Linked DNA regions of Notamacropus eugenii. Each later gene encodes a partner of the first gene's protein in a complex. Links are inferred from orthologs where the notes say so. Each region holds a gene or a part of one and is shown in the gene's direction. Other genes may lie near its edges. The genes, in order: PRKAA1 and PRKAG1.

Region 1 (15,660 bases):
CAGAAATATACTGACGATGCATGTGCACTGAGAATTTTAGGCTTGTGGCTCTCCATGCCCAAAAAGTAAATGAGTATCCATATACCACTGGTGAATACATTGCTGCTCTGTTTACCTTTTAAGTGGTGTGAAAACAGAATTATACCATGTGATGATTAGGTGATGAAAGGTTATAAACCAGTTTTTGTACTGAAAAAACAGAGTGTGATGATTATGTGGTGGTGATGAGGAACACCATAGTCATTACAAGAGAGGAGAAGACAGGCAAGGGGAATATTAAAACCTTTTGTAGGGATAGTATAGTTTAATAGTGAGTACTTCAGTCTGATTAAACTGGAGAACATGTGAAAGAGGGCAAAGACTGTAAAATTATATAGTGCTAGATTTTGGAAAACATTGGATGCTAAATGAAGCAATTTGAGTTCTACTCAGTTGAGAACAGGGACCACTGAGGTTTTTTGTTTTTAGTAGAGAAGTATTATAACCAGGTCTAAGCATAAAGACTAAGCTACCAGCAGTATGAAGGATGGATTGGAGAAGAGAGAGAGAGAGAGAGAGAGAGAGAGAGAGAGAGAGAGAGAGAGAGAGAGAGAGAGAGAGAGAGAGAGAGTAGATAGCCGTTAAAAGCCTATTGCACTAGACCTACTATAACTAGAGTGGTAGGCTCCCTGTTGTTAACCTTTAGGACAGGGGTTCTTAACCTGGGGTCTATAAACATTTAAAAAAAACACATACAAAGATAGATAGCTCTGTTTTAATATGGTTTTCTTTATAATCCTATGTCTTTTATTTCATGAATTTAAAACTTATTCTGAAGAATCTATAGGCTTCAACAGACTGGCAAAGGGATTCATGGTAGAAAAAAAGTTAAGAACCTTTGCTCTAGCATAAAAATACAAAATCTTCATCCCTGCATTTAAAGCTTACCACTCTCAGGCTCCAATCTATCTTTACATGGACCTAAGCCTCTGATGAAGTTAGGGATTCTAAGAATTGGAACTGAGGTGGAAGTACTTTCAAGAGACAGAAAGACAGTCTGCAAAGGCAAAGAGTCAGGAGAAGGCCTGTGATGTTTGTGAAACTTCCAGTATCCCTGGCAACTGATTTGATATGAGGATTATGGAGGGGGAAAGAGTAGTAGATGGCTCTAATATTATAAACCTGGATACTAGAAGGATGATGGTACTCCCAAGAGAAACAGGAAAGTATGGAGGATGAGGGGTTTTTTTTTGTGGGAGTGTAGGAGTTTTATTTTGGAAATGCTGAGTTTGAGATGCCTAATGGAGATGACCAACAGGCATTTGGCTGTGTAAGATTGTAGTTCAGGAGAGAGGAAAAAGCTGGACATATAGATTTGGGAGTTATCTCCAAAGAGAGGATAATTTTATTCACTAAAGCTGATGAGAGAGAAAGGGCAAAGAGAGAGAATACTTTCTCTGGAGAGTACTCATCGTGGATTGAGCTTTGAGGGCTATTCATACTTAATGGGAAGGAGTAGGATGGTGATCCAGCAAAAGAGGTTGGAAGCAATATTTATACAGGCAAGAGGAGAATCAATATAAAGCAGTGTCAAGAAAATGTAATAGAAAAGTATGAAGAGAATCTGGTGTTTTTAAGCCAAAAAGAAGAGATGGTATCTGGAAGGAAGAAAAATGTAGAAAGGTCAGAGAGCATTGAGACTTAAAAAGGGACACTGAATTTGTGGGTTGTTGGGGATTTCTGAGGAAACAATTTCAGTAGACTGGTGAGAAAATGGAGGCATTGTATGTAGACATTTAAAAAGAAGTTTGACAGTAAAAAGAAGAGAAATGGGATAGTAACTGGATGAAAGCAGAAGGATCAAAGGAATTTAATATTCCTCTTTTAGGAATGGGCAGACCTTAGTATGTTCTAGGCAAACTGGAAGGGGCCAGTGGAGAGGGATAAAATGAAGATGCATGAGAATGTGGAAGATGTCTGGACTATAGAAAGAATTTAAATGCTTTTTCATTTAGTCTATCTGTTTGTTCATCAAAATTCTAGAGGAAATGAGAGGGAACGTTATCATAGATGCAAGTAAAGATTCAATGAGCAAAACAGAGAAAAGATTGGGTGATAATGCTGATAATTTTGAGAACTGGAAGAGGTGAAGTGAAGAATTTCCCATTAGATGGCTCCAGCTGTCTCAAAGATGGAATTCATTTGTTGGAGTGTGGGAGTTGGTGACTAAAGAGGACATGGTTGAAGCTATTTCTGTGGGAAAAACAATAGGAAACAGGGATTACCTGATACCAGTACAGCCTCAGCTGAGTATTAAAAGTATATAAGTACTTTTACTTACATATATGTATATATGTATATATATAAATATATACATACATAAGTATGAGTACATTAAAGTATTATGTCCCCCATGTTTGGAATGCTCTCCCTCCTCGTCTCTATCTATTAGTTTCTTTGGCTTCCTTTAAGACCTTGGAGTAGCTAGGTGGTGCAGTGGATAGAGCACCCATGCAGGCATCAGGAGGACTTTAATTCAAATTTCACCTCAGACACTTGACGCTCACTAGCTGTGTGACCTTGGGCAAGTCACTTAACCCCAACTCTGCCTCATCCTGGGTCATCTCCAGTCATCCTGATAAATATCTGGTCTCTGGATTCAGATGGCTCTGGAAGAGAAGTGAGGCTGGTGACCTGCACAGACCTCCCTTACTCACAACAAAGTCAAGTGCAAGTTATGTCATTATTTCTCTGATGGCATGGTCTTCTTCAGCAATGAAGGACGAACACACACACTAAAATCCTGTCTTCCATAGGAAGCTTTTCCTAACTCCTCTTAATTCTAGTCCCTCCCCTCCTTTAATTATTTCATATTTACCCTATATAAAATTTTTGTACAGGTTTTTTGTTTTTTTGTTTTTTTTTGCTTGTTGCTTTCTCCATTAGATTATAAGCTCTTTGAGGGTAGGGAATGTCCTGTCTATTTTTTATCCTCAGCATTTAATATAGTGCCTGGTACATATATTGATTGACTGACAAAAGTATTGTATGGTTATATCTACTGCCTCATTCAAGTGGCAGAGTGTAGGTTGTCATAAGAGAGTTAAAAGATTATCATGCAGAAGAAGATTATGCCACAGAATCCAAGAGAGTAGTAATTGTAAGCATGTAGGTTTCAGTTGCAAATCAAGAATGAGCTTCCAATGCTGCAATTAGAGCTGTCCAACAACAGACTGAGTAATGGGATAGTGACCTTCACTGGAAGTATTTGAGCTGTAAGCAGAAGTTCAATGAGCCCCTGCCATGGATCCTATAGAACAGATGAAAGCCCTTCCATTTTGTTGGACTAAACGATCTAATTTCTATAATTTTAGGTTATATCTCCTTTAAAAGATTATATGATTCTTAAGGGCAAGGATTATAGGAGATTTAGAATAACTAACACAGTTATAGTACTTCAAAGTTTGCAAAGTACTTTACATATTTTATTTGTGTCACAACAATCCTTTTAAAAAATATTTCCCAATTACATGTAAAAACAACTTCTAACATTCATTTGAAAGAAAAATGAGCTCTAAATTCTCTCTCCCTTACTGCCCTCCTTCCTCCCTGAGAGTGAGAAATTTGATATAAGTTATACATGTGCAATCATGAAAAACATATTTCCGTATTAGTCATGTTTTCAACAATCCTTTAAGATAGTTATGACATTTATTATTATTATCCCCATTTAGCAGATAAGAAACCAAGGTTTCTTAGATTAACTGAGTTGTCCAAAGTCACATCACTAGTAACTGCAATAATCCAGGCTCAGATTATAATAAGAGGAAAGCAAGATTTCCATCTACTTTTCTTTTCAAAGTTTCATATTCTAAACTATTTTCAGTGAGTGTAGGTAGCAAAGACTAGTGCTTGTAATTGTGTTAACTGTGTGTGCACGTATGTGTGTGTGTGTGTATGTGTGTGTGTATAATGTAACTTAATTTTTGTTCTTTGTTTTCACACAATTCCCAGTGGCCATTAGAAAATACAAGCTAAGTTGGTATCTTGAGGTTTTATAAAAGAAAAAGAAAAACCTGACAACTCTAATCATGAAAGAAAATTTAAGAGGTTATTTGAAAGAAAAGTGGCATATTTTCTATCTTCTCAAATGAGAAGCAGGAAGTAATGTCTTTTCCAGGAAGAACAGGGTTAGAGCTGTAGAAACTCATAGAAGTAGGTAAGGCTTTTTAAAAAAAATCTAGGGAGAAAAGAGAACAGGTCAAATTCATTTAATCACTTAATTTTTAAAATTTTGATATGTTTTAACACGTTTACCCAAACAGACCTCTTAATGAAATACTTTCACTGAAAAAGTTATCAATTGTTGACAAAAAGGATATATCTTTTAATTCTGACTGTATGGTACTAACATTATCTGTTGTACTTGTCCAGTTTTATTTTTATTTTTAAACTCTGCATGTTTTTATTTATAGACCTCTTCTTATTTCCCTATAGTGATCCCTTGGTGAACTCTACACCATCCTTTTGAGTTACCATGCCCCAAACCTCAGTCTCCCAACATTTGCTGCTTTTGTTCCTATATACATGCTTCTCAAGAAAATCAGTGCTGACATCTATAGTGCAATTCACTACAAATTTGTTATAGAACCTCAACTGGGCCCTCACTGTTGCAAAGCAATCCTTTTATATCTCCCTAATTAACTCACTATCCCCCTCACCCTAGCAAGTCTTCCAAACTTTTTTTTATTTCTCTTCTTTTCCCTCCTCCCATTCTCTTACCTAAGAACCTTGTCTCATATTTTACTAAAAAAAAAAAAAAATCTTTGAGATCTTCTTCTTCTCCCCTCCTCATTAAACATTGCCCAGATGTCTTCTGTCCCTATCTCCTCTTTTATTCTCTCACATGAGATTGCCCTTCTCCTTGCAAAGGCTAACTTCTCTATATGCAAAAATGATCTATTCCATTCTCCTTTCTTCAGGTTTGTTCCACTCACTTATCTTCAATCTCTCTACTGGCTGCTTCCCTACTGAGTCTTCCCCATCCTCAAAAAACTCCATCCATCCCTAGTCACTATTATCTTATAATTCCCCTTCTTTTGGCAGCTGAACTCCTTGAGAAGGTTATCTACACAATAGATGCCTCCACTGCCTTTATGCTTACTCTTACATTCCTACAGTGTTGCTTCCTTCCAATTTTATCTTTCAAACAAAAGTGCTCTCTCCAACAATCTCTTCAATGCCAAATCTAATGGCCTTTTCTCAGTCCTCATTCTTCTGAACCTCTCTGCAGCCTTGACATTTAATCACCTTCTTTTCTTCTTTTGGGACATTACTCTCTCCTAGTTCTTCTTTTGCCAGACTACTCCTTCTCAGTCTCTTTTGTTTCATTCAGGTAACACACATGAACTACAGGTGTATCACAGGGCTCCATCTGGGGACCCTCTTTTATTTTTCCTCTATACTATTTACCTTGGCTATTTCAGCATCTCCCATGGACCCCATCTTTCTGCTGATGATCCTCATATCTACTTATCCAGTCCTAATCTCTCTACTGACCCCCAGTCTGCATCTCCATGTCCCCTGAACATTCTGAATATTCCATAGACATCTTAAACTTAACATATCCAACACTAAACTCATTAAAGCTCGCTTCAAGTCCTCCCCTCCAACTTCCCTCTTACTGTGAAGAGTACCACCATTATCCCTGTCACCCAGGTTCTCAACCTAAGTGTCATCCTGGACTCCTCAACTCTCTCTCCATCCCCAATTCCCTCCCTGCCCCAATCCAATACTATTGCCAAGAACCGTTACCTCAGTCTTCATAATATTTCTCAAATCCACCCACTTCTCTCTTTTGACACGGCCACCAACCTAGTCCTCAGTTCCTCATGACTGGACTACTGTTCTGCCTGTTACACATCTCTCTCCACTTCAGCCCATCCTCCACTCAGCTGTCAAAGTGATCTTCCTAAAGCATAATTCTGACCATGTCACTCCCCTCCACTCCCCCACTCAATGAACTTCAGTGGCTCTTTATGACTTCCAAGCATAAATATAAAATCCTCAGATCCAAAGCCCTTTTTAATCTGTGGTTCCCTGCCTCTCCTGTCCATTCTAGTTCTTATAATCATTCCTTCCCCACCTCCACCCCCTTGATACTCTGGAATTCAGAGACCCTAGCTTCCTTGCTCTTTTCCAAATGAGATACTCTATCTCCCCGTTCTGGGCATTTTCACTGGCTCTACCTCGTCCCCCTTGCCCCCCACTCCATGCTTACAATGCTTTCTCTCTCCTGTCCCTTGCTCCTTCCTTCTTTTAAGTCTCAGCTAATACCCTACCTTGAACGGAAAACTTTTCCCCATCCCCCTTAATCTAGTACTTTCCCTCCGCTGATCATGTACAATAGATCTTGTCTATAACTTGTTAGTATGTAGTTGTTCGAATGCTGTTTCCCTCATTAGACTGAGTTCCTTGAAAGAAGGGATTTCCCCCCACTTTTTTTTTTTTTTGTATGCTCAGTGCTTAGCAAAGTATCTGACTCACAGCAGCCACTTAATAAACGTTTGGCCGACTTACGAACATTCTTGTACATATAGAGTTGCGGGGTCTTTGTTTTGATTTTTCAGTCAATAACCTGCTTGGAATAATAGTCTCAGTAGGGGATTCTTCTGGGTATTGAAGAATATGAATTTTTCTTGCGTAGCCCCAAATTGTTTTTCAGAATGTTTCAATCAATTCATAGTACCTGACTTCCCACAGTCACATCTTTTTACATCTTTGATAGCTTATTGATACTTCCGGGTTGTTTTAAGTTTAGCTAAATCCCACGAACTATGTGATATGCGACACACACACCCTTAGCTCCCCCATCTTTGAACAGCAACAATTATCCCCTTTTCATTGCTTTGGATTCCTTCAAGCATTTATATGCAGTCTCTATTGAAAATGAAGAAGTTCGAATATTGACTTAGAATTTTCCCCTGGTCATTCATGTATGCCCTGTATCATTGTGAGGGCAGGGATCTTTGCATTTTTCACAGATCGTATATCATCACCACATGGCTTAATACATATTAAATTAAATAAACGGCAAATCAAAATTCTATCCAACAAAATCTTAAGAACTTCAAATTCCTTGGGTCGGCCACGTTGGAGTTGTTTGCAACAAGATTAGACTTTTCCAGGGATACGAAAGAGGCTCAAGGGGTCGGCTAAGACGTTAGCGGCGATTCTGGTGGGTGACTAAGGATGGGCAAGGAGCCCCTTCACGGGCTTTGCCAAGGCAGGGTCCCCGCCACTTCTAGATCTCCGGTGGAGAAGGAAAGCAAAGGCTGGGGGCGCAGGGCGGGCGGACGGGGGGCTGGAGTCGGAACCCCTGCCCAGCCCCCCTCCCCCGTCTCCGCTCGCTGCAGTTTCCAGCCTATGCCCAAACATCTGCAGAGCAGACTCGAGCAGAGCCACGCGCCGGGCGGCCGGCTGCCCACGCTCGGACAGCGCCCGCCTGGGCTGGCAGCCAGCGCTCCGGCCCCAGCGGGCAGGGGGGACAGCCCGGGGCGTCCTCCCCGGGCGCGAGAGGGGGCGCCGCCGGAGCTACGGAGGGGGTGGCGGGGCCCGGGGACGGCTCCATCCAGCACCTCGGACTCAGTCCCCTCCGGCCGCCCCCGCCACGGAGAGTGGTTGGGGCCAGACGGCGGCGGCGCGGCGCAGGAGGAGGAGGGGACCGGCGGGGGCGCGGGCCGCGACAGCCGGCTCCTGGGCGGAGGTGACCCACCCTGGGCCCCTCCCAGCTCTGCCTCTCGGGGGGCCCCCTCCTCCTCCCCTTCCCCCCCTCTGCCTCTCCAGTCTCCCCTCCTCCCTCTCCTTCCCTTCCCTCTCTGTCCCCGCCCTCTTCCTTCCTCTCCTCCCTCCCCCTCCCCCCCTAGGGCGCCATGCGCAGGCTCAGTTCCTGGAGGAAGATGGCGGCCGCGGAGAAGCAGAAACACGACGGGCGGGTGAAGATTGGCCACTACATCCTGGGGGACACGCTGGGGGTCGGCACCTTCGGCAAAGTGAAGGGTGAGAGCCCTGGGGCCGGGCTGTCCCGCTGCCGCGGAGCTGGGGGACTCCCCCCCACCCCCCGTTTCCTCGCATCTCCATCCCTCCACTTTCCCCCTCCCCCCCTCTCCCTCGCGCGCCGGGACCCGGGAAGTCTGGTGCGGCGTCCGGGGGGCAGCCCGGGAGAACCCCCGGTGCCCACCCGGGTCGTCCTGGCCGCGCGGCGGGGCTCGGACCTGGTCCGCCCCGGGCGGCGAGGCCAGATGCTGGGCGCCTGGCCGGAGGTCCGAGTCCCGTGCCGTGGCTTCAGGCAGAGCGAGCCCCAGGGAGGTGGGGGGCCCCCCGGTCCCCGCTGCTTCTCCCCAGATCTCCTCCGTGCCCGGCACTATTTCCGTCCTCTTGACGAGGCGAATGTTCTTGGCTGTCGCCGAGCCAATGAATTAATCCAGGTGACACGAACCCCAGCCTGTTAAGCTTTGGGGGTGCTGTGTAGACCAAGTCACCTGGTCTAGCTGGAGCACCCCTTCTTCAGGGGTCTTGGAACCGCTCCTTCTATTATGATGTATTGCCAGGTCTGTGTTCTGCCTGTATTCTGTGCCTTCAACTGTTTTTGGACAGTCAGCAAGTGTCCTGTATTCCGTGTCTGCCGAAGCTGTTAGCTATTTGGCGTGCTTACCCCAAATAAGGTTTTTAGTTTATTGTAGGTACTAATGACAGCATTTACCATACATGGTGTCATTCACTTTTTGAGAAGCGAAGTATATTTTTTTCAAAGAATTGGAAGAAAAACTGTACCGGAGTTCTCTCTGCCAGTCCTATTTCAACACCATGTTTATGAAATGAAGTATCAAGGAACTTTCCGTCTCCTGTTTTTCACCAAATGCTGAAACATTGCAAAATAGGTGCTGTTTAAACATTTGATATTGGCCACTGGGTAGAGTAATAGAAGAAATAAGGATGGCTTTTATGATAAATAGTGATAGGAAGCTTATTTCCCTTTCCTATAATTTTTCTGTTACAATAGTTTTATGGGTGCAACCTACCTGGTACATAAATGCTCAGTATTTACTGTTTTGATTTGAAAAGTATTTAAAAGTTTGGATGATGAAATAAATAAATAAGTCTTGCTCTTCTAGAGCTAAATAAACATTGTCTGATTTTATCTTGGGAGGGGAGAGGAGAACCCTCCTTTCTCTTGCCCCTTTCTGAGTCATAGAAGTGGAAAGTTGCTGTGTAGCTCACAGGGAGAAACTGCCTAACAGTACTTGTGAAAATCAGCAAGGGCTACAATAAGTTGAATAAATGTAAGAAACTTAAGCAAAATGACAGAATGGGTTAATGATAGTTATTAGGGTGGGTCTCTTTTAGGCTTAGATTTGTGTGATCCTGACTGAATTGTGGCTCTGCTATCAATTAGAGCTTATGTGTTGTTTATTAGTACTCTTAAAAATACTTGTTAGCATCCTAAAAAGATGTTAAACTATCCTTGATTATTTCACCTGAAATTCTTCTTGAATTAACACTAAGATCATTTACCTAACAGAAACATGATTTTTCATTTTGTCATTGTAGAGACACCACCCTGCCTCCCCACCCAAAGATTTCAAACATAGTCATATTCATTTAAGATTTGAAAACAGAGATTGGAAGGCAGAATAAATGAATTGCTCAAGCAACAATTTGTTGTGAATTCAGTGAGATCTTTTTGTTATGATTGGCAGGGTAGAACATCATTGTTAGTGGAAGAGGTCTTCTTGCACATAGTTGGTAGGTGTTAAGTGAATGGAGTGTTAACTTTACTCAAAACTTTTTTTTCCACCTTTAGCTGTCTGGATGATTTTATTTTTTATACAGATAGAACCACTGGAAAAAACATTTTAATCTTGTTTCCTTTATATAAAACTTCACAGTTTGCACAAAGTACTTTTTTGTTGTTGGATCCTTACATCAACTATCTGAGGTAGGTAGTGCAAGTATTGTTCCTATTTTATAGGTGAAAAAACACTGAGGCTTGGGATGTTATGGACCTTATTCCAGGTCAAGGGTAGTATGTTAGTAGTGAGTCACTGAGCCCTGACACAATCACAGATCTTTTCAGATACCAAGGTCAGAGCACTTTGCCTCCCATACCACAGTTTTGAATCTGTTGTTCCTTAAAATTATAATGGCTCTTTTTGTTCTTGATTGCTCAGCCATCAATACCAGTAAGAGATAGTCTTTTAATTTTGTGTGTGTGAGATGTGAATTTCCTGTATTTTTAATTGTTAAAATTTAAATTCCAAGTTAATGATGTTTTACCTGAGACAGTAGATGTTTCCAAATAAAACTAGTTTCTTTTAGGTCAAAATGGATTGACATAGTAAAAATTTTAGATGTTTTGTTTAAAAAATTATATGTACTGGTTCTTGTTTTAAAGTACTTCTTCCCCTCTCCCAGCTTGAGCATAATTGGGTCACCACTCTATTGTCAATGTAAGTAGAAGCATGGGAAAATGGAGGGGAGACACATTTTCAGCACAGGTGCTTGACAAAAATTGCCTTGATTTGGTGCCTAGAAACTATTTTACCTGACATTTATTCCATTTAGAATCACATTCCATCAGATTTTAATCTTTTATAAAATCAAGATCATCCATCTGGTCTAAGGAAAAGCATTTGTTACAATGTTCCAATGCATTTAGACAAAGTTACTTGTGGAAGAGATACAGATAACTTGGTCTTACTGGTTATTCAGCTGACAGTTTTGCAGCTTTGGAAGTAGGAAAATTTGAGTGTCAGGACCTTTGCCATTATGACTTGCAGAGAACCGCAACAGAATTGTCTGTGGCTGTGAGTAAACATATGTTTTTGTCTTTCTGGTTTGGACTCCAAGCTGAATATTCCAGCTGAGCATTGTCATAAGTAAAGCTCTTGGGAGCTTTTGGAGTAAGATTATCAAGTATTGAATGAAGAGAGGAGTACTTAGTGATGCAAATTTCAGATAAAAATTTTTCTTAAGTACCCAGGTGACTGAGGATGGAGCCACTTAGGGAGCTGTTAGTGTGTTATAGATGACAGAAGAATCTTGAGCTCAATTTTTATAGAAACTTGTTCTGACTTGAAAATAGCACTGAACTTATAGTCAGAAACACTGTATTTGAATCTTGACTTAAAAGCTATGTGAGTTTGGAAAATCAGTTAACTTCCCTGGATCTCAGTTTCCTTATCTGTAAATTGAGTACTAGATGACCTATAAAGAAGAAAACAAACATATATTATGCACGTACTATGTGCCAGACACCGCTAAGTGCCTTACGGATATTTTCTCCTTCACTGCGACCTTGCTGTGTAGGTGTTCTTTTTATCTCCCCTTTACAGTTGAGATAAAACTGAGGCAGACAAAAGTTATGTGACTTGCCCAGAGTCACACAGCTGGTAAGTGACTGAGGTGGAGGATTTGAATTCAGGCCTTTGTCACTCCAGGCCCCTGGGTGTTCTATTCCCCACAGAGCCACCTGGTGGCCTTTATAAGAACTCTTCCAACTCTAAATCCAGGTGACTAGTTAAAGCTGGAAAGGACCTCAGAGGTCATCTTGTCCAACTCCTTCACTGAAAATTTTTTATTTATATATTTTGTTTTTACATTGCTTACATTTCCCCTGGTCTCTCTAATCCTCCCCCCTCCCGGAGAGCCATTCCATATAACACAGAATATTTTAAGGAAAAAAGAGGAAGAAATGGGAAAAAAATCAGAAAAAGTGATTAGTGAATTGAAAATATTTGAAAATTTATGCAATGAAAATATTTGCCATATCTACCTTGTAGCTCTGCAGAGTGGTGGGGAATGCTTTCTCCTCTCTCTTCCTTTGGGACCTTCTTATTCTTTGTAATTTTGCAACAATCATTTTTTCTTGGTTGTACTAGTCTCATGTTTTGCAGGTGAAGATGCAGAAGCCCAGTTAACTGACTTGCCCTGTCACAAATGTAGCAAATAAATAATCTCACTAGAGCTAGGATTTGAACTCTTAATTTGCAATTCTAACTTGAAATCTAGTGTGCCTGCCATAGGAGAGGCACTCAGGCCTGTACTCTGAGCCTCGTTTTCTTGTTGGATACAGTTCTCCAATACCTGGTTTCCCATCCCTCAGACCCAGAAAGAAAAGAATAGTGTTGAGAAGAAACACAGGATGAGAGTTAACACGCCAACAACAAAGGAAGAGATGCCTCTGGTGTCTTTTCTCAGTCTTCTGCATATATCCTTGATCCCATTCCCTTTCATCTTTTCCTGCATATTGCTTCCATAATCATTCCTTCTCTTTTCTTTCAATCTTTTCCTTTCTATTGACTTTTTCTCTACCTTAAAAATCTTTCCCAGCCTTAAAAAAAATCCCATCATTGCTTCAAGCTATCATCCTATAATTCCTCCCTTCCACAGCAGAAAACATTTTGTACTTTATCTTGACTGTTTTTTCTTCTCATTCTCTTTTAAAAGTTACCATTCATCTCCTAACTGCCAAATCTAATAGTCTTTTCTTAATTCTTGACTTCTCTGCAGTATTTAATGGTACTGACCACCCTTTCCTCCTGATTATGTTCTCTTCCTTTTGTTTGTCTCCTGCTTGTCTGTCTTGCCTTCTCAGTCCTTCTTGCTGGTTCATCATCCATGCTGTGCCTCCTAACTGTAGGTGTACTCATAAGACACTGTCTGTAGTCCTCCACCAAGGCTTCTTAATCCTTTTTTGTTTCATGGACCTCTTAGGTTGTCTGATAAAGCCTATAGACTTCTCAGAAATGCATAACATAATATCCACAGAATTACAGAGGAAACAATTATATTGAAAAAGTTATAAAAAATTGTTTTAAAAAGGTCACAGATGCCAGATTAAGAACCTTTACAATTTTTCTTAGTCACTTCAGCTCTTGTGGGTTTAATATCTTGATGCAAATGGCTCCTCTATCTACATACCCAGCCCCGCTGAGCTTTTGTTCCTTATCTTCAGCTGTCTGTTGGACCTCTCAAACTGATTGTCCTGTAGATATCTCAAACTTACCATTTAGAACTTTGGATTTAATGAGTTCTAAAACAGAACTCACTAACTTTCCTCTCAAATTGCCCCATCTTTTGAACATATGCTATTGTCCAGAGTTGCATTCTTTTCACTCAGCTAAGTTTGCACCTTCTCCGTCATTCTCTAGTCATCCTCACTCACCTTATGCAGCATGTCCCAAAAGTCTTAGTATAATTTTAAAGTTATAAAAGCTTAAAACTGCTCTGATACTTTTGGGACACTTTGGACATCCAGTCAGTTGTCAAAATAGTCATCCACATGGCACAGTGGATAGATAGACCATGGGTCTCAAAGTCAAGAACACTTGAGTTCAAATCTTACCTCAGACACTAGCTTTGTGACTGGGTAAGTCACTTAATTTCTTTGTGCTTCAGTAAGTCCATATTTATATTAAGTGCTTGCTAAGTGCTAGGCACTGTACTCAGTGCTGGTATACAGAAAGAGGCAAAAGAGTTCTTGCCCTCCAGGAGCTTATGATCCAATGGAGGAGACAACATGCACAAAACACATCCAAAAAGCAAGCTACGTATAGGGTAAATTAGGAAGTAATTAACAAAGGAAAGGCCCCAGAATTAAGAGGGGTTGGGGAAGACATAGTAAATGAAGGGATTTTAGCTGGAACTTGAAGGAAACTAAGGAGATCAGTAGCTAGAGTGGAGGAGGAAGAGTATTCCAGGCATGAGAGACAGCCAGAGAAATGACTAGAACCAAGAGGTAGAATGTCTTGTTCATGGAACATCCAGGAGGTAGTGTGTTTGGATCAAAGAATATGTGTTGGGGAATCAGGTCTAAGAAGACTGGGAAGACAGAAGTGGGGCTAGGTTATGAAGGGCTTCAGCTTTGAATTCTAAATACTGTATTTTGTGTTTGAATCTGGAGGCAGTAGGGAGCCACTGGGATTTATTGAATGGGGGGATTGACTTGGTCAGACTTGTACCTTAGGAAAATCACTTTGGTAGCTTATTGGAAGATGAATTGGAGTGGGGAGAAATTTGAGGTAGACCCAGCAGTAGGTTATTACAATAGTGGTGGCAGTGTCAGAGAGAAGGGGGCATATGGAAGAGATGTTGCAAAGGTGAAATTGATAGGCCTTGGCAACATATTGGATATGATTGTTAGGTTGTGAGCCTAAGGGACTGGGAGGATGGTTTTGTCTTCTACAATATAGGGGAGGTAAGAGTGGGGAATGGGTTGGGGGAAATATAATGAGTTGTTTTGTACATGTTGAGTTGAAGTTGTCTTTTGGACATCCAGTTTGAGATATCTGAAAACAGTTGGAGATACGAGATTAGAGGTCAGCAGAGAATTTTTAGTAGGATGGGTAGATTTGAGTCACTAGCATAGAGATGGTAATTAAATCTATGGGAACTGATGAGATCACCAAGTGAAATAGTATAGAGGAAGAAGAGAAGAAAGCCCAGGAGAGTACTCTGAGGGACGCCTGTGATTAAAGGTGTGATCTGGCGCTTCAGTTTCCTCATCTATGAAACAGAAATAATAATAGTACCTACTTCACTGGGTTGTTATGAGGATCAAATGTGTAAATCTCTTTGTAAATCATAACACACTATTTAAATGGTACCTTTCACCATTATTATCATTAATAACTTTTGTCATTTCTAGTTTCATAACATTTCTTATATGTGTTCCATTGTTTCCAAATCATTCACACAACTATTGCCCCAGTTGATCTCCCTCCCTCAAGTCTCTTACCAATGTAATCTGCTTTCCATGCATCTGTCAAAGTGATTTTCCTAAAGTGTAGGTTTGACTAAGGTCACACCCCTTTCCTGTAAACTCCAGCGGTTTCCTATTACCTCAAGTATCAGATATCAAGTCCTTTGTTTGGTATTTATACTTTTCACAACCTGTACTCTTCTTGCCTTTCCGCTTTTCTTTATTCCCCTCCTTCCAGTGTTCCTTGCACAGTCCACTCCACCTCCTATCTTCATGCCTTGTACTCTCTGTTCCCCATTCCTGGAATGCTCTCCCACATTCCATCCCTTAGAATTTCTGATTTCCTTTAAAACTCAGCCCAAGCACCACTTTGTGTAAGAGGCCTTTACCAGTTTCCAGTCTAGGCAGGCATAGAATGAGACAAGCATTCTGAGATGTGGCCAGTGTTTGACAAAGCATTTTTGAAAAATACACGGAAGAAAAAAGATGAGTGGAAGGAGAAACAGATATAGTAATTTTCTTATTACTTTATTGAACTCTTTATCTTCAGTGCTTAGCGTATAGTAAACAGTTAATGTTGATTGATTGAAAAAAAAAAGACAGTACCAAAAAGTTTCTGATACAATCATCTTGCCTGTTGTTTGTACCCTTGGAAGGATTATGTTTATTGATTCAATTCACAATCAAAAAGAAAACTTTAAAAAACTATTAGACATGTAGGTTAAATTATAATTATTTCTTAAGAAAAAAGAAAAAAGTTTTACCTTTTAAAAACATAGTCATTTCTCCATATGCTCCCTCTTTTCTTGTTGAATACTCCCTTGCAAAAACAACAACAAAAAAACAGTTAAATAGAATTGGCCAATAGTATTACTGAGCCTGCACATGTGGTTACGTAAGCAGCATTCTTTGCCTCTAAT
Region 2 (15,761 bases), on another chromosome or scaffold:
GTAGATACCAGTCTGGTGTTCTGGGCACAGTCAGGAGGCTTCCTTGTGCTGAATGGTATGGGATTGTCTCTGTAGGAAAGCCCCGTTCCAGAGCTGCCTGCCCAACACTGCTATATCCACAACGTCTCCAACCTGGATGTTCGTCAGCTCTCTGCCCCACCACCTGAGGAGCCTTCTCCTCCCCCTTCACCCTCAGCTCCTTCTCCTGCCAGCCCCGCAGCTGAACCCTCAGCCCCATCACCCCCACCACTAGTTCCCTCACCTCCACTGCCTGAAGCAGCTCGCCCCAAGCCCAGAGCCCGCCCTCCTGAAGAGGGTGAGGATTCCCGGCCACCCCGGCTTAAGAAGTGGAAAGGGCTTCGCTGGAAACGGTTACGGCTGCTGCTGACCATCCAGAAGGGTGGCGGACGACGAGAAGGGGAGCGGGAAGTGGCTGAGTTCATGGAGCAGCTGGGCACAGCCCTCCGGCCTGACAAGGTGCCCCGTGACCTTCGGCGCTGCTGCTTCTGCCATGAAGAAGGTGATGGAGCTACTGATGGGCCTGCCCGCCTCCTTAACCTGGATCTGGACCTATGGGTCCACCTTAACTGTGCCCTGTGGTCCACGGAGGTCTATGAAACTCAGGGTGGGGCATTGATGAATGTCGAGGGCGCCCTCCACCGAGGGCTGCTGACCAAGTGTTCGCTGTGCCAGCGTACCGGAGCCACTAACAGCTGTAACCGACTGCGATGTCCTAGTGTCTACCACTTTGCCTGTGCCATCCGGGCCAAGTGCATGTTCTTCAAGGATAAAACGATGCTATGCCCATTGCACAAGCTTAAGGGGCCCTGTGAGCAGGAGCTGAGCTCCTTTGCTGTCTTTCGCCGTGTCTACATTGAGCGGGATGAGGTGAAGCAGATTGCTAGTATCATCCAGCGTGGTGAGCGGCTACACATGTTCCGGGTGGGAGGGCTAGTGTTCCATGCCATTGGGCAGCTCCTGCCCCACCAGATGGCCGACTTCCACAGTGCCACAGCCCTCTACCCAGTTGGCTACGAGGCCACGCGCATCTATTGGAGCTTACGTACCAACAATCGGCGCTGCTGCTATCGCTGTTCCATCATCGAAAACAACGGGCGGCCTGAGTTTATTGTCAAAGTCATGGAACAGGGCTTGGAAGACCTGGTTTTCACTGATGCATCCCCCCAGGGTGAGGCTCTAGGGAGTTAGGGAACCATGTACTGTGTGGGTGGGTAGGACAAACTCCTTCCCAGCTGTAATTCACAGAGGTCTTTGGTGTTTAGTCTTTAACTTCTGTGGCCTAGCATCCATTAGACTGGGCAGAGTTTTTTGTTGTTCAACCTTAATCTTTTCTGCTGTTCTTTTTTTTTTTCTTTTCTCATTTGAGGTGAAAAGAGTTACTTCCATGTCCCCACAGATTAGGTCCAAGCTTCCCTTAATCTGATCCTAACTCATCGTTATTTTCTCTTACTTAGGGTATTAAATGAAGCTCTGACTAGTATTGACTATATTTAGGGGTGGAGGGAGCGGGGTAAGAGATAATTTTTTTGATATTCCTACTTTATATTCCTCACTGTCTTTAGAGCAGAGGGTCTGACCCACAGGGGTGCCATTCCTGTTTTAGAGGGAAGGAGTCAAGGCATAGGTCAGGAGTGGAGAACCTGCAGCCTTGGGGTTACATGTGGCCTTGAGGCCAAAGGTTTCCCACCCCTGGCATAGGTCATGGGAGCCACAGATAAAAAATAACTCTTGTATCTGGGTAAAGCCCAGATATGGGGGGAAATAAGTCTTTTGATGGTCATTTGATTTCCCCTCAGCTGTGTGGAACCGTATCATTGAACCAGTGGCTGCCATGCGCAAGGAAGCCGACATGCTTCGGTTATTCCCGGAGTATCTTAAGGGCGAGGAGCTCTTTGGGTTGACAGTACATGCTGTCCTACGAATTGCAGAGTCGGTAAGGTGGGAGGAGGGCAGGGTGGGCTGCAGGGGATTCTGGGGTAGGCTAATTGGGGTACCCCTGCTCCCAGGGGCCTGGGCTGTGGTAGATTGCTCACTGTGTCCACAGCTGCCTGGAGTGGAAAGCTGTCACAACTATTTGTTTCGATATGGACGGCACCCACTGATGGAACTACCACTTATGATCAACCCTACTGGCTGTGCCCGCTCTGAGCCCAAAATCCTTACTCACTACAAACGGTGAGCCTACTTGTTGAGGGAGTCTGTGGTCGAGCTGGGTTTGGGAGGGATCTGAAGTGAAGGGAATGGGCAGAAAACAGGGTGGAGGATTGGAGACCTTGGGATAATTGGGGGCAGGGGGGCGGAACACAACACAGATGGGGTGAAAATGGAGACATCTTTTCCTTTGGAAACGTTGAGGAATCACTCAGACATATTGAATAGAGGAGGCTGGAGCCAGGGCCCCCTCTAAAGCTTGTCTTTCCTGCCTAACTAATGGGGGTGGAGGGTGGAAATGTGTTAACTGGGGAGGTATGCAGTAGGCAGGTATTTATTGATGTGATGGATGAGGGAGCTAATAGTTTTTTCCCTTTCCCCTCTCTAAAGGGCTCTGACTCCCTCCACCTTGAGCCTAAAAGGGAGCCTTTAGATGTACCCTGGAGTGCTAATGTCCACCTGAGGTGGCCCCAGGAATAATAATTGAAAGAACATTAAAACCTCACATTTGTATAGCATTTTATACTTTTTTTTCCAAAGCGCTTTCACATCCATTATCTCATTTGATCCTCACAACATCCTTATGAGGTAGGTAGGGCAGGTGGTATTACCCCCCTTTTTTTCAGATGAGAAAACTGAGGCCCAAGGAAGTTAATTGACATGCCCAAGGTCACACAGCAAGTCAAAGATGGAGCCAGAGCTAGAGCCCTGGTTTCTTGACTTGTTCAGTGCTTTTCCCACTATGCCATTAGTGGACCCTAGCTCACCAGCTGGGGTACAGGAAGACAGAAACGATTTTAAAGGAGTTCTGTCACTGTATGTGACCAAGCCCCAAGCAAAGAGTCCTGGACTTGATCTCTGGTGTGCAGAGATGAAGGGCAGGAATACAGCCTAGGTAGTTGTGGAGGGAGAAGGTGGAGTGGGGAGTAGGGACGAAGGGTAGGGGGCAGTGGGGGAGGGAAATGGAGTCAAACAGGTTTACTGAATTATTTTCCTGAATTGAATAGTTGGTGCAGAGGCAAGGGAAGAGAGATATCATCCCTGTTTGGGAAAAGTTTGTAGTTTTTGTTTCAAGGGGGAAAAGTGTAAACAACTTTAGTTCTCAAGAATTGTTCTAATGTGGTAAAGGAACAGAATTCTGAATATGCCCTCGGAGTAGAGCTCCAAGGGATAGTCCAGTGACTGGAATGACAAGACATAGACTGTTCCCTGTCCTTGGGGTGGTCGAGGGAAGAGCATCTGTGTTAGGCTAGTCATGAGAGGGTGAATGTATCCACACATCAGGGAATGGGAGAAGTTTCGCTTATTTGATTCCTAGACCTATCTCAGGTTTTCTGAACAGAGGGCCATATGGATTTTAACTGCTGCCCCACCAAGATGGAGACCCTTATAGTAAATTCAGGTTCTGCCTCTATTTGCCCAGGCTATATTTCCCATATGCCCGTAGCACATGTCCTGAGGCCTGGCTGACATTTGCCACATCCCAGAGTTGGGGGTTGGGTACACATCATTGTGTGTCTACTAGATCTGACTTGCCATTTTTCCTGCTGTCCCCAGGCCTCACACCCTCAACAGCACCAGCATGTCCAAGGCATACCAGAGCACCTTCACGGGCGAGACCAACACGCCGTACAGCAAACAGTTTGTGCACTCCAAATCATCACAGTACCGCCGGCTCCGCACCGAGTGGAAGAACAACGTGTACCTGGCTCGATCCCGTATTCAGGGCCTGGGGCTGTATGCTGCCAAGGACTTGGAGAAGCACACAATGGTCATTGAGTACATTGGCACCATCATTCGAAATGAGGTGGCCAACCGTCGTGAGAAGATCTATGAGGAGCAGGTTAGGGCCAAGGAGAGGAGCTGTGTGTAGAATGTTCCGGGGATTCAGGACGATGGGGCTATGGCGGGCAAACTTGAGTCTTCAAGGGAAAACGAGAGATATTTGTGGAAAGCTGGAAAGCCTGAATCTGTTTGAATCTGTTTCTCCTGTTCCCTTCCTCTTTACAGAATCGAGGTATCTATATGTTTCGTATCAACAATGAGCATGTGATTGATGCCACACTTACTGGAGGGCCAGCCAGGTAAGATGGAGAGGGAGGGAGGGGCATGTCAGGGTAGAACTGGCCCTAACCTGAATTGTTCCCCTGACACTGACCACTCCCTGGTCTTTTCCGGTTCAGGTACATTAACCATTCATGTGCCCCTAATTGTGTAGCAGAGGTTGTGACCTTTGATAAGGAGGATAAGATCATTATCATCTCCAGCCGGCGCATCCCCAAAGGAGAAGAGGTGAGAGGAAGTCTTAGGAATGATGTGATTGGCAGTGATTTCCTTTGTATGTTTTTTTTTTCCCTAAGCCTGACTGGACTTGATCCTTTCTCCCTTCCCTCCCCAGCTGACCTATGACTATCAGTTTGACTTTGAGGATGACCAGCACAAAATCCCCTGCCACTGTGGAGCCTGGAACTGCCGAAAGTGGATGAACTAAGCTCAGAGGCAGCTGGGCAGGGGAGACCCTCCAGAGCCCTTCCCAGAAGGGTTGAAGGGGAAGAGAGCCAGGACCCAGAGCTGGGGCTGCTGGCTGACCAGAGCCCTAGGAGCAGGACGGGGCTCAGGGCCCTTTCTGGGCACCAGGGATGACTTCCCTCCCCCACCACAGGCCCCAGGCTGGCACATCTGCCCCCAGCTCCAGGAGCCGACAGACAGAAACAGCCATTGGGCATCTCAGGTTCGGGGGGTGGGGGGGTTGGGTAGATATGGGCTGGGAACTACCCAGCACCGTCTAGGAGGCAGCAGAGACGGTGAGGAGGGTGGCAGCTTGGGTCTCCCAGCCCCAGTGCTCCCACTGACGTCCCCAGCCCAACTCAAGGCTGCAAAGAGACTTGATTAAGCTTGACAATCCCAAAGGCTGGGTCCCCACACCTGGCCCTGCCCGCTGGGTCCTGTCCCTACTTCCCAACCCCCATCTTCCCTTTCTCTCTGTCTCCCTCTTCTCCTCTATGTCTCTCTCTGTCCCTCTTTCCATCTCTCTCTTTCTGGGTTGTGTTTCCTTGTTTTCTCTCTGACAAATGCAACACGAACGGGAAAGAGGCACCCAGCTGCCCGGGTGGGGCGGGCAAGGCAGGCAAGCCGGGCAAGGAGATCCTGCACCCACACCTACCTCATTTAAGTGTTGGATTTTTTGCTGTTTTGAAATGTGAGACCCTCTCCCCAGCCCTCTGATCCCTCAACCCCTTGTCTGAACTGGGGGTAGCAGGGAGGGGGGGGTAAAAAGGAAAACCTTTAGAAAAAAAATCTGTTTTTAACTGTGGGCATGGGGTAGTGACTAGGGCTGATGGGAAGCGATTGAGAGAGGGTGACCCCTCGATCCCCTCAGAGGCTGGGCATCTCTCCCCCTCTGAACAGGTTGGAAGGGAGAGGTATTGGGGTTGTGTTTCAGAACCAGGGTGTCCTCCTCTTGTACTCCCAACCCCATCATGAGCCCAGTGCCTCCCTCAGCCTCTCCCTGGATTTGGAGGGGAAAGAGATTCTCTTGAGTTGTGTACCCATTCCCCGTGGGGCAGGTTGGGGCCCAGAGCTCCCTACTTCCCCAGCCACCAAACTGCTGCTGGTCTGGTGGGAAAGGGAGGTGTTGGGGGTAGGGGAGCTTAGTGTCATCGTGGGGAGGGTGGGGGGGTATTTATCTATTTATAAGCCGGATTGTATATAGTCATGTGGGGCATGGGGGGGCCAGCAGGAGGTGAGAACCCTCCCCTCTCCCCCCCACCCCCTGGGGAGAGCAAATGTAAAACTACTAATTTTTGTGCTTTATATATTCTATATAAATATATCTATTTTCTTTTTACAAAACCAGTTTATAAATGGTAGGGGGCGAGGGGAGGGACACCTGGAGCTCCCCTTGTGGGGGAGCTGCCCTCCATTATCCCAGACCTGCTGCCCTGCTTCTCACCCCCCCCCATCCCCTGGCTGTGACTGCTGTAAAGGTGAGGGGAGGGGACAGGGGCTGGGCTCAGTTTCCCCACTCCCAGATGTACAGTTGGACTTTTATAACGCACAAAAGTGATCTGGCCCCTAAGGGAGCCAGAGGGTGACGGGTCCCCTCCCTCCTTTTTCTCCTATCTCCCTCCCTAACTTGTGCTGCAGGTGATTGAACCTCTTCCTGGAGTGGGGGGGGTGTTGAAGTAACCCCTAGGCCCCTCTCTGGTAGGGAGCCGTAGATTTGCAGATGAAGTTTTTATTCAGTTCTCTCTTCTAGGGGCTGTGGGCAAAGGGCGTTTTGTAATTATTTTAAAGCATCAGAAATCTGGAGCATGAGGATGAAGGTGATGCCAGTGGAGAGGGCTGGAGCAGGGAGCCTAGTCGCTGTTGTGTTTTTAGTTGTTTTTTTTCTTTTGAAGTTTTTGTTTTGTGTTTTAATTTGAGACAGAATGGGGTGGCAGGGGTGGGGAGGAGGCTGAAGATTTTTTTGTTTTTAGGGAAAAAGACAAAGCTGCTTCCGCAACTTGTTTAAAGATGCAAAGGTTTAAAAGAACTCCTAACCCCCCCCACCCCCCCCACCCCCGCCCCCAGCTCCACAGGGAGCAAAGAGAAGCTGCTGTAAGTAAACCAGGAGCAAGACTGGGCTTCTCTAGCGCCCTCCCCCCACCCCACCCCGCCCGCACGACCCCAGCCGCCGGACCTCTTCCTCTCCGAGAGCAGAAGGCCCTCGGGCCGGAGCGGAGCCCAGCGCAGGGTCTGGGCTGGGGGCAGACTTTGTAAGGTATGCTAGGTATCTGGTAGTCCTGTAGATCTTAGTGAAGAACCTTATACAGTTTTTAATTTTGATACAAACTATCACGCAGACCCAGGCTGCAAGGTTGGAACTTTGGTTTTCTGTTGTTCTTAGTTCCCCGCTTGTACAACGCATCGGAAGCGCCCCGCCCCCACCCCGCGTTCGTGTTTTGGGTTGGTTTACACGCACACCCTCCATTTTCAGTTTCCCCTTCATCTCCAGGACTCTCCTCCCCCTCCCTCCCTCGGCCTCCCTTGGATAAAAACCGCTGACCAGTGTGAATCCCGTGGAGACTTGACTTTGTGTTGTGTATGCTGTACAGCCAGGTTTGTCCTTCGTAACAACGGATGAAATGACCCCTTCTAGGCCGCGCCCTCCCGCCCCGAGCCCCCGTCCGTGGCATGTTTTGTATCGGCGATCATTATGAACTGTACATAATTTATGTTGTGAGAGGCAAAGGGCAAGTTTGGGATTTTGCTTCTTCCAAGTTTGTTTTTAAAGGACAAATAAAAAAAGCATTTTAAATACAAGTCGCCTGGAGTCGCTCGGTAGCGCCGCCGCCAGCGGCCCGGGGCCGGCCAAGGCCGGGAAGGGAGGGGGAAAGGCAACGCCCCTTCGGCCGCTCGCAGGCGACTGGTCGCTACCGGAAGGGCGGAGGCCGCGCGTCTTTAGGTCACGCGGGAGGAAGTAGGGTGGCGGTGCCGGAAGTGACGAAAGGGGCGGATCCGGAAAGAAGCGGCCCGGAGGGCACGAAAGCCGCTGGCGCGGAGCGGGATGGAGACGGTGAGAGGGAGAGGGCTGCCAGCCGGAGGGCCTGGCGGCGGGCGCCTCCCGGCCGGGGCCAGCCGGCTCCCCGCTGCCGGGCTGAGGAAGGGAGGGAGGGGGCGGGGACCCCGGACCTCCTGTCTGGGCTGTCCGTCCCGGAGCCCGGGGCTGCCCTGACGCCGAGGTCTCGCCTTAGGAAGCTGCTCGGCGGAGGGCGGGCGTCCCTCCGGTGCCTGGGCCCCGGGCCCTTCCGGGCGCTAGGGAGCCTGGGGCGCGGGCCGCTTGTGCCAGCCCGTCCCTGCGGAGCGTTCCCATGGCCGTAGTCCTCCTTCCAGGGGTCGCCCCACCCATTTCACGTTAGCTGTTACCCCTCTCTTTAAAACAACAACAACAAAAAACGGGTTTTCTTCCTTTGCAAAGGGTAAAAGTGGGACCTCCAAAAAATGACATAGGGACGACGTCAACCTTGTAAATTTGGGAAAGTGCTCTTGACTGGACTGGGAGGCAGGAGGGCTGGGTTCAAATAACAGCTCTGCCGTCGATGAACTGATCTCGGGCGAGGTACTTCATCTCTCTAGGCGCATTTGGACCCAACGGTCTACAAAACCTCTTCCAGTTTTAAGAGTCTGAGATTCAGTGACATGGGGCATGCAAACTAAGGACTGTGATGAAAACAGCAAAGAGCTGGAATACTAAGAGCTAAATTGTCCTCATTCTGATCACTGAGTAAAACTCAGGATAAGTTATGTACGGCCTGAAAGAGTCCAACCCTGCAGTTTAAGGAAGTAGCTAAGAAGGATCCGACCAGCATGGGAAAAATGTCCTTAGAAAACATCCTGGGAAGAACCGTGGCTATTGAATAACCGTCCACTGGCCTCTTCCCCCACCCTGGGAACTTCTTTTAAGTTAGTTACAGGGCTTTGCACATTGTAGGTACTTAAGAGCTATTTAATGTTTCTAATTATGTTCTTTTAAGTGACTCTTTGTATCCTATTAGTGACTTTTTGTATCAAATAATATGTAAAGCTCTTTGCAAACTTTCAAGTGCTACACAAACTTAGCTGTAATTATCTTTCTAAGTGTCTGTCTAGGTATGTCTCTGAATATACATGTGACCAGGTCTATACATTTGTATAGATTGTGTACATTTGTGTTTCTACAAATCCAGTTTTCCAGTCCAAATGTCTTATTTGTGTCAAATCATCTGTGCCCCTCTATTGCTCCCTTATGGTTTACATAGCAACTTTGTTTCCAGGCACATTCATAAATAACCTACTATCTCAGTTCATTCTATAACCATCTCTGGGAGGTAGGTGGGAGCAGAAATTTTTGAGGAGCAGATAATACAAGTGGATTCATAAAGATAAGGTTACTTAGCCATATGTATGTTTGTATCTATTCTGTGCTTGTCTATCTTTCTGTCTTAGTGCAGCACTCTGACCATCTACGTCTTCCAGTACATCACCATCATAATGTTTTGCAGTAATTCAAATAATCTGTGATTCCATCCATATAAATATTCTTTCCACCAATAAAGAAATGAAGCTTTTCTACAGCTTGGATAGATATATAAGTTTCTGTGTCAAAAAAAATCATCACTTGGTAACCATCCTTTTGGTGATGAGTCTCTCTGAATTTAGGTAGGCTAATCACTGAGCCTGAAGTCTGAACCATTCTGGCTTGGTATAGGACTTGTCATTGTAATATAGTATCTAATACAAAACTGCAGGTTACCTCCATAATATATAATGAGGCATCATAATGGGAAGTTTAGTGGAAGTTCAACAACAAATATTTATTGAGTACCAGCTGTGTGCCTAGGGTACTGAGATTACTGCTTTCCTGGAGGTTACATTCTGGTTTGGGAGACAAGATATTTGTATATGAAAAAATTATCACAATACAAGGTAGTATATAAATGCCAAAGTGGACAACTGCTCCATTTCTTGGTCTCTCTTTATGTTATCCAGTCTTTGGTTTTTGTATGTTGTGTGATCTTGTCTGTGTCTCCTGTATACATGTATGTATCTGCATTGCTCAGTAACCTTCACATGCAGGTGACTAGATTTGTTCCAGTGGCATTGCCAAAATGTCACACGCAGCAGACAGCAGCAATGGAATTCGGTTCTTGCTTCCTTTGGGGGTGGGAAGCTGTCCTTTCAGCTTGCCTTTGACCTTTGTTCACTAGCCAGCAGAAAGACTCCAGATCTTTTAGCCTTACATTTTTGCAAAAACTTGTGGGGCAAAAATGCAGTTTTTGGAACCATTTTCTGAATATGTTGAATTGCAGCTACTAGTACAGATAGAAATCAGCATAACTCCTTTTGGGTAACATTGACATTTCCAGGAAGTATACAGATTTACCCAAGTTTTGGTTACTCTGAGCTAGGGAAGGAGGCAGGAACTGCCCCTTTACCCTCTCTATGTCCCTAGGACCAGGAAGTAGAGGCAGTTAGTGTTTCTCTTGGCTTTGGAAGGCTCTGGCTCATCAAGTGATGCTAAAGTGCAGGTCTGACCATATCATTCTTCCCATTGTAAACTCCTTTAGCTCCATATTTTCTCCCAGATCAGATATAAAATTTTCTCTTTGGCTTTTGAAGCCCTTCATAACCTGGCCCATTCCTGCCTTCAAAGTTTTCTTACTATCCTCCACATGCTGAGATCTCAAATAAGACACTCCATCTAACGACTCTGAGCATTTTCACCAGCTGTCTTCCATGCCTGGCACAGTCTCCTTCCTTATGTTTACCTCCTGGCTTCTCTGGCTTTCTTCAGATCTCAAAGGCCCACCTTCTGCAAGAAGTCCTCCGTAATCTTAGTGCCTTCCCTCTGAGACTATCCCCTGTTTGTCTTGTATATATCTTATTTGTACATAAGTTTTTGCATGTTGTGAAGCTTAAATAAGATAATATTTGTAAAGTGCTTTAACTCAGGGCCTGGCACATAGAAAAAGGTGTTTAATAAATGTTTATTCTCTTCCCTTGTTTCTCCATTAGACTAAACTCCTGGGGACCAGGAACTGTTTATTTTTTACCTTTCTTTTTGTCTCCAGTACTTAGAGAAGTGCCTGGCATGTAGTCAGAGCTTAATAAATACTTGTTGACTGATCCACTGAATTGACAAAAGGTATTGGGTTGGAATTTCGAAAAAACTTCTTAGCTACAGAACATGTTTCATGTTTATCCTTCAGACATTCAAGTGGTGATGACTGACTGGCTGCCAGTTTCTCCCTGTCTTTGTGATTAGGGACCAAGTGGCATGGTCCTTATGCTCAAGATAGTACTTGGGGAAGGCATTGATATCCCACTATCCTGTTTTTGACCCCCATAGCAGATTCTTTGGGAGTCAGGTGTGGGCCCACATTTTGGGCTACGTTTTCAAAAGCTTTTGTAGCTTAGCCTAGGCCAGGAATCACTGGTGTCAGTTTTAAAGCATTGTTTCTTTTATGCTGCCTTCCTTATTGTTGGGGGAGGGGTAGATTCAAGAGCCATGAGAAACATAATGAGGTTAGTAGATCCTAAGTTAGGCTTAGTTCCTTTGTTTGTCCTTCCAGGTCACTATTCCAGAGAGTGGTATGGAAAAATGCACCCCAGCTCTGGAAGGTAATATATTTCATCATGATATACTCCAAGAAGGATGGGTACTTCTGTGAAAACCAGTGACCAGTCTATAATTGGTCTTCAGTTTCAGCAGGTTTTGTTTCTCTCCCATTGTACATGCTGGGGATATCAGGGCTGAGCCAAAAACCAGAGATATTAGGCCGCTTTATAAGAATTAGAATCAAGAGCTTATATAGGGAACAACAGGAATAAGTTTGGTGTTATAGGGGTGCTTATTAAGATTGTCATAAGTGATTTAGATAATTAGAGTAGGATTTTTTTTCAGTGGGAGATTCTGAACTGTTGTCAGTGGGAGAGCTATAGGCTAGAAGACCACATTATAGAAGTCCCTGTTACTTATTAAAGACCCCAGAGCCAGGAACCACCAGTCTTTTGTCACCCAGCATCTGAGTGTGTACCCTCACATCTGGGATGGCTTTGAAGACTTCTACATTTTCCCAGCATTTCAAGTCAGGAATAGAATGGATTAGGGATATAGTAATAAAATCCAAGACACAGGGTTTAGCAGTCCTACAGTGTTCCCAAACTCCTGTCAGTTTTGAGCCATTATGAAAGAACCCTGAATTGCCTTTACAGTTGCTTCTCTATACTGTGTGACAGGCTTTCGAACCTCACCCCAAAATAATGAAATAATCTTCCATTTATTTTAAAAAAAGATTTCTATTGCCGTAGGACATTAAGATTCCAAAGAGATGACGTAGACCTTCCCTGATGGATAGAGAGAGGAATCAGGACTTGACCTGTGATTTCATTGGTATAGGGAATCTCCTTCAGCTGAAGAAGCTTCATTTACCAATCCAATCAGTACCTTCTCTGAAACTTCTAGTCTTAAAAAATTGCCTAGAGTACTGACGGATTAAGGGATTTGCTTGGGGTCACATAGCCGGTATGCAATAGAGGTAGATTTGATCCCAGGGCTTCCTAGCTTCCAGGACAATCTTATATCCACTATGCCACACAACCTCTATAAAACGTATAATTTAAGGGGGTAGAAGGAAACACATGTACACAAATAACTATGATAACGAAGGAGTGATCCAGGAAAAGTAGCATGTGAAATTTTAGGGAAGATCATTTTGATTTGGTTGGGAAAAGGGAATAATTCCTGAAGGAACTGGTATCTAAGTTGAGTTTTAAGGGAAGGAGGAGACTTTCAGCATTAGGAGGTAGAGTGGAAAATTAACTAAACAGGAGAACAGTACAAGTTTGGAGAGGAGTGAGGGAAGGATGAGAAGTGGGGATAAAAGCTACCCTTGTCTGTTCTGAAAGTAGGGTATAAGAAAATGAATAGTATGAAGTAGGACTAGAAAGGTAGGTTGGAAGTTGGAAGGTTATGGAGACTCTTGGGTGCCAGGGTAAGGAGCTTTTAATTCATTAAGTAGTGGGCAGCCATTGAAAGCTATTGAAAAGATTATTGACATTAGGAAGATTATTGGGGCAGCAGTGCGAAGAGTGGAAAGCAAGGAAGCCAGTTAGGAGGACCTAAATATGCCCCCCTTCACCATTTCTGGAACTCCTTGAAGCTGCTGTGGACTTCCCAGACAGACTTTTATACTAGCCTCAGAGACTCTAGAGGCTCTATGGGATTTGGAATAATGGCTGAGGATAAAGGATAGAGATAGCTCTCTTCTTTATATTAAAAAAAAAAATCCATGTTGGGCACAGGATGAGGTAGGACAGTGCAGGCTATGGATATTTCCCTAGTTTGACAAAGGATATGGAGATAGTCTCAGTTTTCACTGGATTCTGAACTTGCCCTCTCTCTCAAGGCCTTATTAGTGGTACAGACTATTTGTGGATTTTTCTTACCCATCAATAAGACTTTCAGGATCCTACACCCAGCCTGACCTCACCCTAGACCCATCCTCAGAACCTTAGACTGCTGGAGGGAAATACAGGAAGCAGGAAGTCCCATCCAACATGGTGTTTTACTAACACACACCAACATGGTATTGAATTGGAATGGCTTGGATAAGGCAACCATTCATTCCTATCAAAAGCTCTCTGAAGCATCACAAGACTCTTATTCTATTCCAGGAGAAGAGCAAGAGAGAATGAACAGAAGTTATGGTGAAAAAACTTAGCTCAGAGAAGAACCTTCCAGACAAGAATAGACTTCTAAGAGATTATCCTTTGGAGAACTCTGAGTAGAACATTCTCTACCTGACAGGAATTGACATAGCCCTGCTGAAAGATGAAATGGTCTCTAGCCTTGGGAAACTGAGAATTAGATGGATTCAAAAAATCCTTGTCTAGGTTTGGTGGGAGGAAGAAGAATGAGGCAGGATGGAATGGGAGGGTGTCGTGGAGAGCGACCTCTCCATTTGGGAAGCTATAGCCCTCTGACAGAGAGGTGGGGGAAGGGGGAGCAGGGCTCACACAGCAGAATGGAGAACACTAATCCCCTCATGCTATGCAGAGACCCCAGAGTCCAACAGCGCTGTCTATACCTGCTTCATGAAATCCCATCGATGCTATGATCTGATCCCCACAAGTTCCAAACTGGTTGTGTTTGATACCTCCCTGCAGGTGAGTGAAGCTTTTATCCTCTACCCTTTCCCTGAGGCCTCTGCTTTATATATCCCATCCAAAGCCATTTGTAGGGCTACTCTTACCCTTCTTTCCCCTTATGCTTCTTATCCTCCTCCTCCCTCAATTTCTCTCCTAGTGACCCTTCCTTCTCTATTACTCATCCCCTCCTTGCAGGTAAAGAAAGCTTTCTTTGCCCTTGTCACAAATGGAGTTCGGGCAGCCCCATTATGGGACAGCAAGAAACAGAGCTTTGTGGGTAAGTAGGGGTCCGGAGGATGGATGATATCATCATGGTAGGCATGATGGGAAGTTGAGGGTGGCATTTGGGATTCCCTCATCTGAGGGTGTTCTAAGGGGAAGACAGTACGATTCCTAAGTATTCATTTGGCTTCCAGGCATGCTGACCATCACTGACTTCATCAATATTTTACACCGTTACTACAAGTCAGCCTTGGTGAGAAACCCATAACCCGTTGATTCTGATGCCATAGTCAGGAACCATTGATTTCCTCTTTGGGTCCCACCTCCAAGCCCTGCCACTGATTTCTGACAGTGTCTTCTTTGCATCCTCGGGTCTGCTTTCCTCCATAGTGCGCACAGTTCTTGCCCCCTGCTCCACTTCCCAGGGAACAGTCTGTTGGGGGTCTATTGGAATAGAGTGATAAAAGCCCGAACCCTGTTACCTCTATTCCAGGTACAGATTTATGAGCTGGAAGAACATAAGATAGAAACCTGGAGAGGTTCGTAGTAGGGAGTCACAGGGAGACAAAGGGTTGGAACATTTTCTTGGGAAGCTGTTTTCTTTGGTGGCATTTTGTGTGTAAATCATCTCTTCTCCTCTCAGAGGTGTACCTTCAGGACTCCTTTAAACCTCTTGTCTGCATCTCTCCTAATGCCAGGTGAGCTGCCATCTGCTTTTTCAGAATGGAAAAGTCATCATCAAAAGGAACCTGGGAAGGGTGGTGGGAGTGATGACCCCATACATACATGCCTTGGGATAGTCTGACTTTGCTCACTGTCCCCAAATCCTCTATAACCTACAACTGGAGCTAATCATTACCCCGTCATTCCACAGCCTTTTTGATGCTGTTTCCTCACTGATCCGAAATAAGATCCATAGACTGCCAGTCATTGATCCTGATTCTGGCAACACTCTGTATATCCTCACCCACAAACGCATCCTCAAGTTCCTCAAGCTTTTTGTAAGTGCTATTTCTCTTCCTCTCTGACTTCCCATCATCACATATACTGCCCTCAAGCCTCCCTGGGCTGGGTTAGGGAGTTGGTGGCTGAGGGCTGTTTGGAGGACCTGGTAGTCTAGTTAATTGATCTGTCTACCAGATTGCAGAGTTTCCCAAACCGGACTTCATGTCTAAGTCTCTGGAGGAGCTCCAGATAGGCACTTATGCCAACATTGCTCTGGTTCGTACCACCACACCTGTCTATGTTGCATTGGGCATCTTTGTTCAGCACCGGGTCTCTGCCTTGCCAGTGGTAGATGAGAAAGGTAAGGAATTGAGGAGGGAGAGAAGAAGGGGAGGGGAAATCTGTGTCCCCAGAGGTGTTCTGTGGGCAGTGATGGGGGTTCCATTGCTGAATTCCAAGCCCTTCCGGTTAAGATGCCCCTATTTTCACAGGGCGTGTGGTGGACATCTATTCCAAGTTTGATGTCATTGTGAGTGACTTCAGAAGGACCACTTCAGGTGGTAGGGAAAAGGAAGGAGGGATTGGGAAATGTGGGAAGGAAAAGGAGGGAATTCTTTGTGGGTTCAAGGGCTTCCGTGACACTGGTCTCCATATCTGATGGGAGAAAAGAACTGACTCCCTTACTGGCTAAGTGTGGACTGAGAGATGACCAGTTCACCTGAGTTCTGCATTTCTTGGGGGATGGAGTGGGA

Evidence for each region.
Region 2: the proteins of PRKAA1 (region 1) and PRKAG1 are in contact, whole or in part, in a crystal structure (PDB 6C9H), measured with the Homo sapiens proteins. The link is inferred for Notamacropus eugenii from reciprocal best matches to the Homo sapiens genes PRKAA1 and PRKAG1. Residues at the interface, in NP_006242.5 of Homo sapiens: Ser295, Ser296, Thr297, Met298, Ile299, Asp301, Glu302, Lys305, Arg342, Glu347, Ala348, Phe351, Tyr352, Leu353, Arg369, His371, Pro372, Glu373, Pro376, Phe377, Asn449, Val451, Thr452, Thr536, Pro537, Arg538, Gly540, Ser541, His542, Thr543; in NP_002724.1 of Homo sapiens: His36, Asp40, Leu41, Ile42, Pro43, Thr44, Ser45, Val50, Leu64, Val65, Gly68, Val69, Arg70, Trp75, Ser77, Lys78, Lys79, Gln80, Phe82, Pro158, Glu159, Ser160, Gly161, Asn162, Lys170, Arg171, Lys174, Phe175, Leu178, Phe179.

What each region holds. Positions count from the first base shown.
Region 1 is NC_092875.1:419,370,173-419,385,832, forward strand, and holds the start of PRKAA1 (5'-AMP-activated protein kinase catalytic subunit alpha-1), read left to right. Parts: upstream 1-7,715; 5' UTR 7,716-7,910; coding exon 7,911-8,037; intron 8,038-15,660. UniProt on the Homo sapiens protein: Catalytic subunit of AMP-activated protein kinase (AMPK), an energy sensor protein kinase that plays a key role in regulating cellular energy metabolism.
Region 2 is NC_092874.1:220,882,962-220,898,722, reverse strand, and holds the start of PRKAG1 (5'-AMP-activated protein kinase subunit gamma-1), read left to right. Parts: upstream 1-7,616; 5' UTR 7,617-7,720; coding exon 7,721-7,729; intron 7,730-11,264; coding exon 11,265-11,313; intron 11,314-13,368; exon of another isoform or gene 13,369-13,533; intron 13,534-13,750; coding exon 13,751-14,119; intron 14,120-14,258; coding exon 14,259-14,317; intron 14,318-14,557; coding exon 14,558-14,603; intron 14,604-14,707; coding exon 14,708-14,762; intron 14,763-14,938; coding exon 14,939-15,065; intron 15,066-15,204; coding exon 15,205-15,370; intron 15,371-15,500; coding exon 15,501-15,538; exon of another isoform or gene 15,539-15,569; intron 15,570-15,761. Other genes in the region: KMT2D (histone-lysine N-methyltransferase 2D), read left to right, coding at 76-1,189, 1,818-1,954, 2,066-2,196, 3,730-4,015, 4,183-4,256, 4,356-4,464, 4,571-4,663. UniProt on the Homo sapiens protein: AMP/ATP-binding subunit of AMP-activated protein kinase (AMPK), an energy sensor protein kinase that plays a key role in regulating cellular energy metabolism.